Macaca fascicularis: one gene and its partners. The protein of the gene in region 1 purifies or fractionates together with the protein of each later gene. This does not show direct contact. Links are inferred from orthologs where the notes say so. Each region holds a gene or a part of one and is shown in the gene's direction. Other genes may lie near its edges.

Region 1 (4,215 bases):
AATCGGATTCCTCAAAAAAGTCAATGTTATAAACAAGAAAACAAAACAACACAAAAAAAGGGCTGGGTGTCAAGGCTCAGGCCTATAATCCTAGCACTTTGGGAGGCTGAGGTGGGTGAATGACCTGAGGTCAGGAGTTTGAGACCAGCCTGGCCAATAGGGTGAAACCCTGTCTCTACTAAAAAAAGAAAATACAAAAATTAACTAGATGTGGTGCTGTATGCCTGTAATCCCAGCTACTCGGGAGGCTGAGGCAGGAGAATTGCTTAGACCTGGGAGGCTGAGGTTGCAGTGAGCTGAGATTGCGCCACTGCACTCCAGCCTGGATGATGGAGTGAGACTCCATTTCTAAATAAATAAATCAATAAATAAAAAGAAAACCAAAACCAAGAATGATTCTAAAGGTGTTTAAAAAGACATGACAATTAAACGCCACAGATGATCCTTAATGGTAGACTAATTGGGAAAAAAAGAAAAGGGATATTACTTAGATATTTTGCAAAATTGAATATATATGGCCTGTATGTTACAGATGATTACATTGTATTAGCATGAAAGTTTCTTGGAGTGATCATGGAATTCTGATTACATGGGAGATTATCTTTGTTCCTAGTAGATATTTACCGAAATATTTACGGATAAAGGGTAACAGTGTCTACAAAAACTCAAATGATTCAGCAAAATAAACCATACACACAGACACATAGCAAATGTGGCAGAATGTTAAAAATTGGTGAATATGGGTTAATTTGGCTGTGAATTATATTTTTCTTGTAACTTTTCTATAAAGGTTTGATATTTTTGAATACAAAAAGTTAAAGGCTCTTCAAAATCCAAGCAGCTTTTCCTGCACTGTCTGTTTTACCATCCTTAGAGTAAGCCACCTTGTCAGTTGAAGATACAGTTGTGTGACCAAGGAGGGAGTTAATGGTCAGGATGCTTATCTTTCAAAAACTATTGTAATTATTTACATAAATAAGGGAACATTATAGTTATCTTTTTGTGCCACTATCAACTTGGTTCACATCTTTTATAGGCAGCCTGATAAGGTGGAGTTTGTCGACAGCCAGCCATGCCTGAATTTCGATCCTGGCTGGTTAAACTGTTTAACCTCGTTGGGACTCAGTTTGCTCATTGCAGGATGCAGAAAATAACTACTTGGTGTGATTGTTGTTTTGAATTGTTATACACATGGTGTTTAGGGAACCGGGTTTCAATTCATGTGCAAAACCATTGTCGTACTTTGAATGCTATCTGTATCTTTTCCTTCATTAAACTCATGCAATCCTGGAGGGCACGTAGAGGTGGGAGAGAAAATGACTTCTCCAAGGTCACACCGCTAATCGCGGACCCAGGTTTCCCAGCTTTTGGTCGTGTGCCCTTTCCACGCCCGCCGGAGAGGAGGAAGCGGCGCTCATGGGGATGCAAGGATGTAGAGGAGCAAAGGGAGAGAAGAGGCCGCGGGAAGAGAGGTGGTGCGAGACCCGCGGAGGCGCCGGCCAAGGAAGGGCGCATGGAGCGCCGGGCTGCGCGACCGGCCGGGGTGCGGAGGGGAGAGGCCGCGGCGGGGAGGGAGGGTCCCGCGGGTCCGGTGCCCAGGAGAGGCGGGCGGCCTGGGCCAGCCGCAGGAGCGCAGGAGGCGGAGGCCCGGGCCGCGGGCTGGGGTGGGGGAGGCCGAGGGCCAGCGCGGCCTTGGGCGGCGACCACCTCTGCACAGGTGGGTGGGGCGGGGGCGCGGGGCGCGCGACTCCGGGGTCCCGACCCCCGGGGCCGGCGGGTGGGGGCGGGGCGGGGGCGGGGCCGGCCAGGGGCGGGTCTTGCTGGGTCCCTGCTGGAGCGGCGGCGGTGGCGGCGCAGGCGCGGTTCCCGCCTCCTCCCGGCCGGCGGAGCGAGTGGAGGCTGCAGCCCGGCTCGTCTCGGCGCCCGCGTCGCCGCCGCCGCCGCAGCCGCCGCGAAGCCCCCCGCCCCGCTTCCGCCGCGTCGGAATGAGCTCCCGGAAAGGTGAGTGGCCTGCGGCGCGCCCTCTCCCCGCCACGCGGCCGGCCCTGGCGGGCGGCCCGACCGTTAATGTGTGTCTTCTCTTCCCCCAGTGCTGGCCATTCAGGCCCGAAAGCGGAGGCCGAAAAGAGAGAAACATCCGAAAAAGTGAGTCCACGCTGCGCCTGTCCCGGTTCCCCACCCCTGCCCCGTCGGGGGCGCCCGCGGCCGCGCAGGGGAAAGTTGTCCAGGTCCTCCGGCCGGGGGGCGGGCTGGTCTCCCGGGACGCCGGCGCTCGGCTCCTGCGCCCCGCGGGCGGCCCGGGGGGAGGGGCGGCGGCGGGGGAGGGGCGCGCGGGCCGCGGCCGGTTCCCGAGCATCACGGAGCCTCGACTCGGCGCCCTCCCGCCCCGGGTCGCCACTGGCCGGCGGGCGGGCGGGAGGCCGGCGGGGAGGCGCCGGGCGGGGCGTGCGCACCGGTCCCCTGCGCGCGAGCTGACCCGGGGGTCGCGGCCCTTTCTGGGAGGGGCTCCGGCCCGCCCGGTGCGGGAGTGCGGCGGCTGCGCTGCTCCCACCTGAGCCGGGGCGGAGGAGTCGGAGGGGCTGAGTGTGCGCGAGGGCGTGTGTCTCGCCTCCCCTTCCTCCCCGGCCCCCGCCTGTCGGCCTTTCTGCTGAGAACCGGAGCTGGTTGTCAAGTGGTTCGCCTCGGGCGTGTTCCTGGCGCGAGTTCAGCCCCGAGACCTGTGCGTTTCGGCTCTCTGGTTTGGATTCGAAACTTTCCGCTCGGGTCGAGCGTGACTTGGGTGCGCTGCGGGCGCCGGGGTCGCGGGCTGCGCGGGGCGGTGGGCGTGTGCGCCGGAGCCGGGCGGAGTGGAAAACGCGCCCGCGCTGGCCACCTCCAGTCTGGCCGCTCACCCGAGCCGGGGGGCCGCTGCCCGAGAACCCTTTCCTGGAGAGCTGCTCCGAGACCGCACAGCGCCGCCGCGTCTTCTCCTTTTCCACTCCTCTCTCCTTATTCTTTTGATTTACCAGCGTTCAACATCGTTATCTCTTCCTCTAGATTAATTGCTTCGCTCTTTTGAGCAATAATACTCCGTGTGACATCTTTGGTACTATGGGGAACGAGAGTCCAGCATCATCTTTAATAAAATCCAGAAACATTTTTGGTTGTTTCCTTTTTTCCCCTTCTCGTTGGCCTTGGTCCTTCAGAGTTTCACAAAATGTGGATAGTGACTTAAAAATAACTTTCTAAAAAAAAAAAAAATTAGAGTAAAGGGAAACACTTCTTAAAGACTTGAAGAACTAATTGGTGGGTAAAAATTTGATATTGAATTCATAAGATGTTAAAATGGACTGGATTTTTGGTAGCTTTAGATGCGTTTAAAAAAATTAGTGCTAGCTTTCAAGTGAATTACAACCTTAAATTTGAGATTTCCTTTGGTGAACCATGGAAGTTTACCCAGTGGTACGGGGAACTGTAATGTTTAGGATTCTGAATAAGTACTGGGTTTTAATCACAGCTCTGAATTCAAAGCATTGATTTAATTCCACATAGTCTGTTATATTCAGAAACATAAAAAGAAGTGGAAAAAGTGTGACCCCAGTGTCGGAGATGGCTATGTGTGCATGTGTATACAAACAGACACGTATGTGTGCATGTTACCTATATGTACAGGTAGAAAAACAGTTCTAATTAAGTCAGTATGTGTCTTGTATTTGCATATGTTAGGGTGTGATTTTCCTAATGGTCGAGGGCCTTTTTGGTGGGCCGCAGTTTGGATTTATGTGGTATGTTTATGAAGACTTAGTGAATAGCCACAGTACTCAGTTTATACTCTCACAGATTAATCTGCGAGTTTCTCCCACGGTGTGTTGTGTATGTGTGATAGAATTTGAGGGGGAAAATAACACACCAGCTAATAATGAAACGAACTGACTCTAGTCTGAAGGTAATGGGACCAGCCCAATTATGTAACTGATTGAGGCAATGCCATTTTTCACTTAACTCTTTGAATCAATACATTATTTTATTTAATTTTTTTTTGAGACAGAGTTTCGCTGTTGTCGCTCAGGCTGGAGTGCAATGGCCGGATCTTGGCTCACTGCAACCTCCGCCTCCCGGGTTCAAGGGATTCTCCTGCCTTAGCCTCCCGAGTAGCTGGGATTACAGGCACCCGCCACCCAGCCTAGCTAATTTTTTTTGTATTTTTTGTAGAGACGGGGTTTCACCATGTTGGCC
Region 2 (4,182 bases), on another chromosome or scaffold:
TGCATTAAGTACATTCATATTGTGCAACCCACACACCACCACTCATCTCCAGAATCTAAATCATCCTAAACTGAAACTCTATTATTCACTGAAAAATAACTCCTCATTTCCCCTTCTCCTGGGCACCCTCTCCACCCCTGCTCTTGCTACCTTTCCAGCTTCTGTCTCTAGAAGTTTTGACTACTCTAGATACTTAATGTAAGTAGAATCATAATATTTGTCCTTTCATGTCTGGTTTATTTCACTTAGCTAAATCACTTTAATCAACACCCTGGTTATTCAGTAGCTGGATTCTAATTTGTATTCTACTCTATATGCTGTATTTTAAAACAAATGTCTTGCTTTGTAGTTCATAATCTTTCCACTTAATCCTTGAGGAGACTTCACTCTAGCAAATTATAAACTCAGAGTTTCTAAGAACAATTTAGCCTACCGGTGTCTCTCATAAAGAGCTTTCATTGATCTCCTTACTGAAAATGTCTTTAGACTGTGAATATTTTCATTCCACTACAGTTCATGGAACGTAGACGCTTCGTAAAATTCCACCTAGTATCTAAATAGAACTCAAGCAGGAATCAAACTTATTTGATCACCCAGGAAAAGAGTTTATTTGGGTTGCTGATATGAAGACTCTCTTTTTTGATACTATATAATCTCCCGATGTGAGATAGGGCTGAATTTGCTCTAAATAAAGAGCATTTTAAAAATAACAAAACTTATCTTTATCTGGGGGAAAGTGCAGGCTGGAAACTACCTGAGAGACGTGAAGGTTCTCTCACCTTTCCCTTGGAGCATCCCTGAGTCATTAGGGCTCTACCAACAAGTCGAGTACTGTTGGACAAGGCACTAATCATCTGGCGGTCTCGTTGGACTCCATTAGACCAGCCTGTATTTATAAACCTCGTTCACATCACAGCATACACAGAATATGGTACTGGTAGGGCACTTGGGTAAATTGACGAGGAAGCGCGCTCTGCACCTGGAACCTACGGGCCGCCTGGTGTCGCGCACGCGGGTGTGTACGCTCTCAACAAGCGATCCATCCGGCAGATCCGTTCCAGCTGACAGGCCACGGCCGTCTTACCGGGGACGAGCTAGGGCTCCCGCTGTTTCTGAAGTTCTAGCTCGGGGACGAGCTAGGACTCCCTCCTTGTAAGAAATAAGTTCTTTATATCATAAAGATAAGCAAAGAATAAAAAGGCACAAAGGCCGCAAGCAAAGCACACACTCAAAAACCGAACTACAGCACTCGACCCGCGCATTCTCCGCCGACCTTACGTCTCTTCCCAGCAGGCTCCAGGAACCACCGCGAGACTTCATCAATTATCGCGAGATTTATCGGCAGCCATCTTCTTGGGGGTGCTGGGAGGCAGGAAGACCCCCTGAATCGTTCCCATTGAGCTGCCCTTCGCCTTCGCTTTCTTTACTTTTGCCTTTTCGACGTAGCCAACAAGCACCTGGTCCCGAGGCCGAGAGAACGCCTGGGTCTAAGCGCGTGTCGCGCTTCCGGTCTGGGTAGATTTGCTGGGGAAGAGGGAAGGGGGAGGGCCCGGGCAAACCGTTGCTGCTTCAGCCCGGGCCAGGGTCCGGGGACGGGGAGCTCCTGGCATCCCGTGGATTTGCGGCCTGCGGCGGTCCTTGCAGAGCTGTTCACCGACCGGGGCCCGCGGGAACCTGCCACCGGCGCCTCCCACCGCGGCCCACGCGGGCGGCGCGCGGAGGAGGGGGCGGGGGCAGCGGCGGCTGTAGCGGCTGCGACCTGGGCGGGCGGAGGAGTGTGACGGGCCTTAGGGCCGCTGTGGATGGTTTCTAAAATGATCATTGAAAACTTCGAGGCACTCAAGTCCTGGCTCAGCAAGACTCTCGAGCCCATGTGAGTATCCGGGGGATATCTCTCTGCAGGGATGGCAGTGGGAGATAGGCGGATCCACAGATCTGTGCGGTTTCCCCGAGCGCCCACGGTGGAGGCCGAAGCGGTGAACGGAGGTCCCAGGGCTCTGTGGCTTTTCCTCCTCGTCCACCTCGCTTCTAGGTTCAAGATACCCCCAAGAGCCTGACTCGAGTTTTATTTTATTGCTGAGCTGGTCTCGTTTTCCCGTTATATGTAGACCGATTCCAACCCCCCACCCCCAATATTTTCCGAGGGCCTCAAAATCGGTTTTTAGTGAAACCGACTGTATTTTCCTTCCTACAGACTATTTTACCTTGTTTTTCTAAATGAAGTAGACGGCCTTTATTAGGGATTCGGGCAGTTCTAGCTTAAATCACTCACGTTTCACCTAAATACAATTCCTGAAAGCAAGGCCACGTCTCCCATGTGCTGTCTGGCTCATCTGCACCTCTCTTCACTGATTGAAGATGTAACAGGTGCTGAGGTGGCCAGTAAAATTCCCCTTTCCCGCCTACACGTTCGTTAGCTTGGAGAGGAGAAAGAAAATTGAATCTTCATACATATGGAATATTTAGCAGTTTTAAGTGGGATGCTATAGATAGACTTTGTGTTGGGGGGGCCTTAGAGTGCTGAAATAGTCTTAGATTGGAAAATTTAAGGAGTGTTTTCACGACTTGTTAATACTAAATATAACATGGACCAAGTGCTTTATCAGAATTGGTTGATTTATAATGCAATGAGGAAAATTCACGCATTTAATGAAGTTATTAGGTACCTACTATGTACTACGGGAGGCTTTGGGGATAGAGCTTTTAAATTCTAAAATTGACAAGAGATAAATCCAGATATTAATAGAGCTGTGACTATTTTAATAATCATGTAAAAGAGTGATTATGAGGGAGGCTACTTCACATTGGTCAAGGAAGGACTCTCAGAGAAGGTGACATTGGAGCAACATCTAAAGAAGAGAAGGGACCATCTGTGTCAAAGTCTTGGAAAAGAACGTTTCTTGCAAAAGGAAGAGCAAATGAAAGGCGCTGTAGCAGAAGTAATTGTGGTGTGTTTCAGGAAGAGAAAGGCCATTGTGGCTGCAAGGAGCCTTGTGATGAGGGAGAGAATGTAAGAGAAGTTGGACAAGTAGGTAGGGGCCACATCATGTATGGGAAGATGTGAGATGATTTAAAGCAGACAAGGACTGATTTAATTTTGTTTTTAGTCTGCCTATTTTGTAGCGACTGAGAGGACAAGAATGGAAGTAAGGAGACTATTCAGAAGGGTATTGTAGGCAGAGATGTGGCTAGTTTGCATTAGAATTTATTGTAGGCAGAGATGTGGCTAGTTTGCATTAGAGTGATGGTGGAGACAGGCAGATCCAAATACATTTCGTAAGTAAAATTAATGGATTAAATGTGGGAGATGAGGGAAAGGGAAATCAAGGGTGATGATCGCCTTAGATAAACCAAGCAACTGAATGGTTTATAGTAGAGAAGGCAGAGAACAGGTTAAGGAGAGAAGGAAAGGGGTTGGCTAGTTTTGATAATAAATACAGTAAGTATGAAGTCTGTGGGATACATCTAAGTGTGAGATCATTGAATGTATGAGTCTAGAACTCAGGACTGGAGAAATCTGGAGTCATGCAGATGGTATTTAAAACCATGACATTGTGGGAAATTTCCTACGAAAAATGTGTAGATAGGGAAGAGAAGAGGACCTAGTACTGAGGCAGGAGGAAAACTGGGCTTTATGTCATTAAAGAACAAGTGTGTGACAAAAGAGAGGAGTTTATGAAATGCTGCAGAATGCGTGAAAAAATGTAGGCAAATAGGTGGCCCTTAGATGTAGCAAAGTGGAAGTCGTTGGTAACCTTAGCAAAATAGTTTGACTGGAGTGGAGTTGTGCAGATGGAAGCCCTATTTCAGTGTATTGGAGGGTGGGCATCATAGTATAGGGGTGAGAAGAACTCTGGAGCAGAATGTCTGGTTTTGAATACTGCCGCTGCCGCTTACCAGCTGTATGATATTGGGTAAGTTACTTAACTCAGGGCTTCCATTTCCTCAACTGTAAAATTGGGAAAATAATGAATATATATTAAGGAAATCTTAGACTACTGCCTGGTGTGTAATTAGCATTCAGTAGTTATTAGGTGAACACAAAACTTATAAATGTTTTGGGTTGAAATAGCTTTCCTTTAGGCGTTCAGTTTCATATCAGATTTACTGCCGTATCCCCCCGTCTTACCTAAATGAGAAGACTGTAGCCACTTAGAGTGTATGCTTGTAATTTTTCTTTAG
Region 3 (4,062 bases), on another chromosome or scaffold:
GCCAGCGAATCCTAATTACCCTAGAAGCTTCCTTTAGAAGTGCCAGAGATGTAGGAGGTATGCTTATCCGCCTTGTGACACAAAAATGGAAGCATAGTTAATAGATGAGAAAAGCATGACTCAGAATGATTTTCAATATTGGAATGTTGGGAATTTATGAGAGGTATTTTCGTGTAAGAATAATAGGACTTATTTAAAAGGTTTGGAGAGTGGGGGGCATCCCAGATGCGTGAGAAGCAGTATAGCTAATCGTTAGAAGTAGGTTTGCTGGAGTCAGGCTGCCTGGGTTCAAAGCCCACCTCTGCTGCCCCTTAGCTGCACAACCCTGGGCTGCTTTCGGGCCTTGCTGTGCCTTGGGTTTCCCCACGCACTTCATGAGGCAGTTGCAGGAATTAAACGAGTTAATATGTAGTCAACAGCTCTGAACACTGCTTGACTGAGTCAGCCCTACCTAACGTTTAATTTACGGGATGTGGCCCTGGGTTCCTTAAGGGAGCGGCCACACTATTCACAAACATTAAAGCAGTAAAGGCTCCATCCTCATCACCTTTCTCCTCTGTTGGACCCCACAGGACTGTCTCTCGCAACTGCTTCCTCCGCTCTCCTAAGGCACTCTGCGGAACCAGCGGCACCTCTTTCGCCTGAGATCAGGATTTCCCTTCTCCGCCCGTTTTGGGATTTAACAAGCACGAGAAAGGAAGCCTGCAGGGGAGCCGCGAGGGCCTCCTCACCACCGCCCGGGATCAGAGTGGGGGGCGTCACCCGCTCTACACCCAGAGCCCGGGCACGCCCCGCACGCGCGGCTCCCTCCTCCTCCGCGGGGCTCGCCGCGACCCCGGACGCCCAGACTCCCAGATACCCTCGACCCTCCGGACTCCTAAGCCCCGCATCCCCCAAATCCCAAGACCCCCCTCGAACCCTGGTCCAGGGCGGGTGGCTGGGGGCCTGAACTCGCTCCAGAAACCCGCAGGGCAGTCTGTCGGAAGCCTCTTCTTTACCCAGCATGAATTTAGTCTCCGCGCGCCCCCTAAAACCCAGGCGTCCTCTCCCCCGCGCCCTCGCTCCCGGGGCCCTCACACACTCTCCGCGGCGGACCTCCAGGCCGGGCGGGTGCGCTGTGCGACGCCGAAAGCGCCATAGAGCACGCAAGACACGTTTGGCTCCCGGAAGTGACGTACAGCAAGCGCCCGACGGCGGAAGTCCCTCCTGCTCCCGACGGCGGAAGTTCCGGGAGTGCCCAGTACCCGCGTGCATACGGCAGCCGGCATGGCGCACTACAACTTCAAGAAAATTACGGTGGTGCCGTCCGCCAAGGTAGGTGGCTCCGGGAGGGCCACTGCTACTTTCGCCTTCTCATTAGCGGGGTCTCAGGGGAGGGTCCGGGCCTGTAGCCGTGGGAGAGCGGTCGCCTTCCGCTCGCCCACCACCCGCTCCCGGGCCCGACCTGCCGGACGCGTACTCGAGATCATTTCCCCTCCCCCAGCAGAATCCGGGGTCCACCAGAGATCGGATCCCCCAGAGACCCGGGTCCACCTGAGACCGGGGTCCACCCAGAGACTGAGGGCCCCCAGAGATCGGGGTCCACCCAGAGTAGGGTTCCCTGGAGGGGCTCCGGGTGACGAGGTGGGCGAGTGGAGGGGACCCCAACATGTGAGGGAGGAAGCACTCCGTGGTCCGTGATGAGCCTTCAGATTCTGGATTTGGCGTAGCGCCCTCCCCTCTCAGGAATCCTCGGTTCGTTGCTATCGTGATTTAACATTTCTTAATTTTTAAGTCATTCTCTTTCACTGTTAGATTTGGGAACTCCTGTTCTTTTTAGACCATAGTAGGCCCAGACTAAATTTTTACAGCGTTGGTTAGTGTGGCAAGAATGAGTCAACAAGTGTTAAGTGTTAGAATTTTTTTTTTTTTTTTTTTCCCCGAGACAGAGTTTTCCGCTTTTGTTTCCCCGGCTGGAGCGCGATCAAGGCTCACTGCAACCTCCACCTCCCGGGTTCAAGCGATTCTCCTGCCTCAGCCTCCCGAGTAACAGGGATTACAGGCGTGCGCCACCACGCACGGCTAATTTTTGTGTTATTAGTAGAGACGGGGTTTCACCACGTTGGCCAAGCTGGCCTCGAACTCCTGATCCCAGGTCTCCCAGGGAGATCCCAGGGAGTTGGAGATCCATCGAACTCCCGCTCCGGCCTCCCAAAGTGCTGGAATTACTGGCGTGAGCCACCACACCCGGCCCTGGTATTACGGCTTTTTTAAGAAGTCATGTTTTTATGTAGTGAACATTCGATTTGGGTCGCAATTACAGAGACATTGACGGGCAACTCGAGCCTCTCAGGGACTGCTGCACGAGAGGGAGTTACTGAAGTCCCTGCAGAGTGACTGTTTTCCTCTCATCAGTGTCTCCTTTTCTTCACGTCTTAACAACGGAATGAGCTTGCCTTGGAAAGCTTTGTGGGAGTCTCGTATTTTACCTTCATAGCAATAATTGTTTCCCCACTTCTCTCCATTTCTCATTTCTTCCTGACAATTGTTGTGACACATCTCTTGATAGATTGTAGTATTTTCTTTCTTTCTTTCTTTTTGAGATGCAGTCTCGCTCTGTTGCCCAGGTTGGAGTGCAGTGGTGGATCTCATCTCACTGCAGCCTCCGCCTCCCAGATTCAAGTGATTCTCCTGCCTCAGCCTCCTGAGTAGCTGGGATTACAGGTGCAGGCCACCAGGCCTGGCTAATTTTTGTATTTTCAGTAGGATGGAGTTTCACCATGTTGGCCAGGCTGGTCTTGAACTCCTGATCTCAAGTGATCCACTTGCCTCAGCCTCCCAAAGTGTTGGGATTACAGGCATGAGCTACCGCGCCCGGCCAGATTGTAGTATTTTCCAGTGCAGGAATCATGTCTTATTTGTATTTTTGGTCAGCCATCTCTCAAGTTTGTTGAAGGAATTTGCTCTTTGGATTACATGAACTTTGTTCATGTTATTGACTTATGTGGAGAACTTTAGGATATGTTAGTACACCATCCATCTTCTGTGGAATGAGATTTGTATTTTTAGAGAACACATGAGTTTACTTACCTAAAAAATGGGTGATGGTAATTGTTTGGTGATTGGAAGTTAAAAAAAAAAAATCACATCAGGAAAGTGTGTGGTATTCAGTTCATTCTAGAAGCTGTTAAGTGAGTGCCTGTCCTATGCGTTGGGTACTGTGTTACAAAAATGCATTAGATAAAATACCTGCCTCTTTGGAAGTCGTTGTCAAGAGGGGTAAGTCGAGGCCGGCGCGGTGGCTCATGCCTGTAATCCCAGCACTTTGGGAGGCTGAGGCGGGCAGAGCACAAGGTCAGGAGATCGAGACCATCTTGGCTAACACGGTGAAACCCCGTCTCTACTAAAAATACAAAAAAATTAGCTGAGCGTGGTGGCAGGCACCTGTAGTCCCAGCTGCTGGTGAGGCTGAGGCAGGAAAGTGGCGTGAATCCAGGAGGCGGAGCTTGCAGTGAGCGGAGATTGTGCTGCCACTGCACTTCAGCCTGGGCGACAGAGCAAGACTCTGTCTCAAACAAAACAAAACAAAACAAAATAAAAAAGGGTAAGTGGCATCATGAATGACCATACTAGAAATGAAACATTGTTATCATGGAGGACCCACATGGATTGGGAGAGAAGAGTGCAGTTAGCTGTGGTAAGTTGGAGAGTCAGGGGCGATCTTATGAAGTAGGTAACCTTTGAACTGGTCCCCCTTCAGGATGTGTGAACGCCATTAGGTGCAGAAAAATGTAGGGAAGAACTTCTGTAGGCCCAGAGGGAAGACCGTGTGTGCCCCTCATAGTACATGGAAGACTGTTGTGACCACCTGTTTACTTGTCTCACTTGTAGACCCAGAGGGGAGACGGTGCGTGCCCCTCATAGTATAATACTTGGCAGACTGTGTTGTGCCTACGTGTTTACTTCTGTCACTGGACCCTGAATTCCGTGAAGGAAGGGACAGTATCTTGTTCATTATCTTCAGCACCCAAGTATCCTTAACAACCTTTGTTTGAAATGATATTGAGTTAATCAAATTGTTGA

The links. The genes of interacting proteins can lie anywhere in the genome.
Region 2: the proteins of SRPK2 (region 1) and RBM26 purify together in Homo sapiens (co-immunoprecipitation; 3 studies listed by BioGRID and IntAct, with this or other methods). This does not show direct contact. The link is inferred for Macaca fascicularis from reciprocal best matches to the Homo sapiens genes SRPK2 and RBM26.
Region 3: the proteins of SRPK2 (region 1) and GTPBP4 purify together in Homo sapiens (affinity purification with mass spectrometry; 3 studies listed by BioGRID and IntAct, with this or other methods). This does not show direct contact. The link is inferred for Macaca fascicularis from reciprocal best matches to the Homo sapiens genes SRPK2 and GTPBP4.

Annotation. Positions count from the first base shown.
Region 1 is NC_088377.1:146,914,782-146,918,996, reverse strand, and holds the start of SRPK2 (SRSF protein kinase 2), read left to right. Parts: upstream 1-1,395; 5' UTR 1,396-1,416; coding exon 1,417-1,543; intron 1,544-1,868; exon of another isoform or gene 1,869-1,985; coding exon of another isoform or gene 1,986-2,001; intron 2,002-2,090; coding exon 2,091-2,145; intron 2,146-4,215. UniProt on the Homo sapiens protein: Serine/arginine-rich protein-specific kinase which specifically phosphorylates its substrates at serine residues located in regions rich in arginine/serine dipeptides, known as RS domains and is involved in the phosphorylation of SR splicing factors and the regulation of splicing.
Region 2 is NC_088391.1:70,464,854-70,469,035, reverse strand, and holds the start of RBM26 (RNA-binding protein 26), read left to right. Parts: upstream 1-1,343; 5' UTR 1,344-1,802; coding exon 1,803-1,873; intron 1,874-4,182. UniProt on the Homo sapiens protein: May be involved in the turnover of nuclear polyadenylated (pA+) RNA.
Region 3 is NC_088383.1:1,341,193-1,345,254, forward strand, and holds the start of GTPBP4 (GTP-binding protein 4), read left to right. Parts: upstream 1-1,223; 5' UTR 1,224-1,266; coding exon 1,267-1,314; intron 1,315-4,062. UniProt on the Homo sapiens protein: Involved in the biogenesis of the 60S ribosomal subunit. Acts as a TP53 repressor, preventing TP53 stabilization and cell cycle arrest.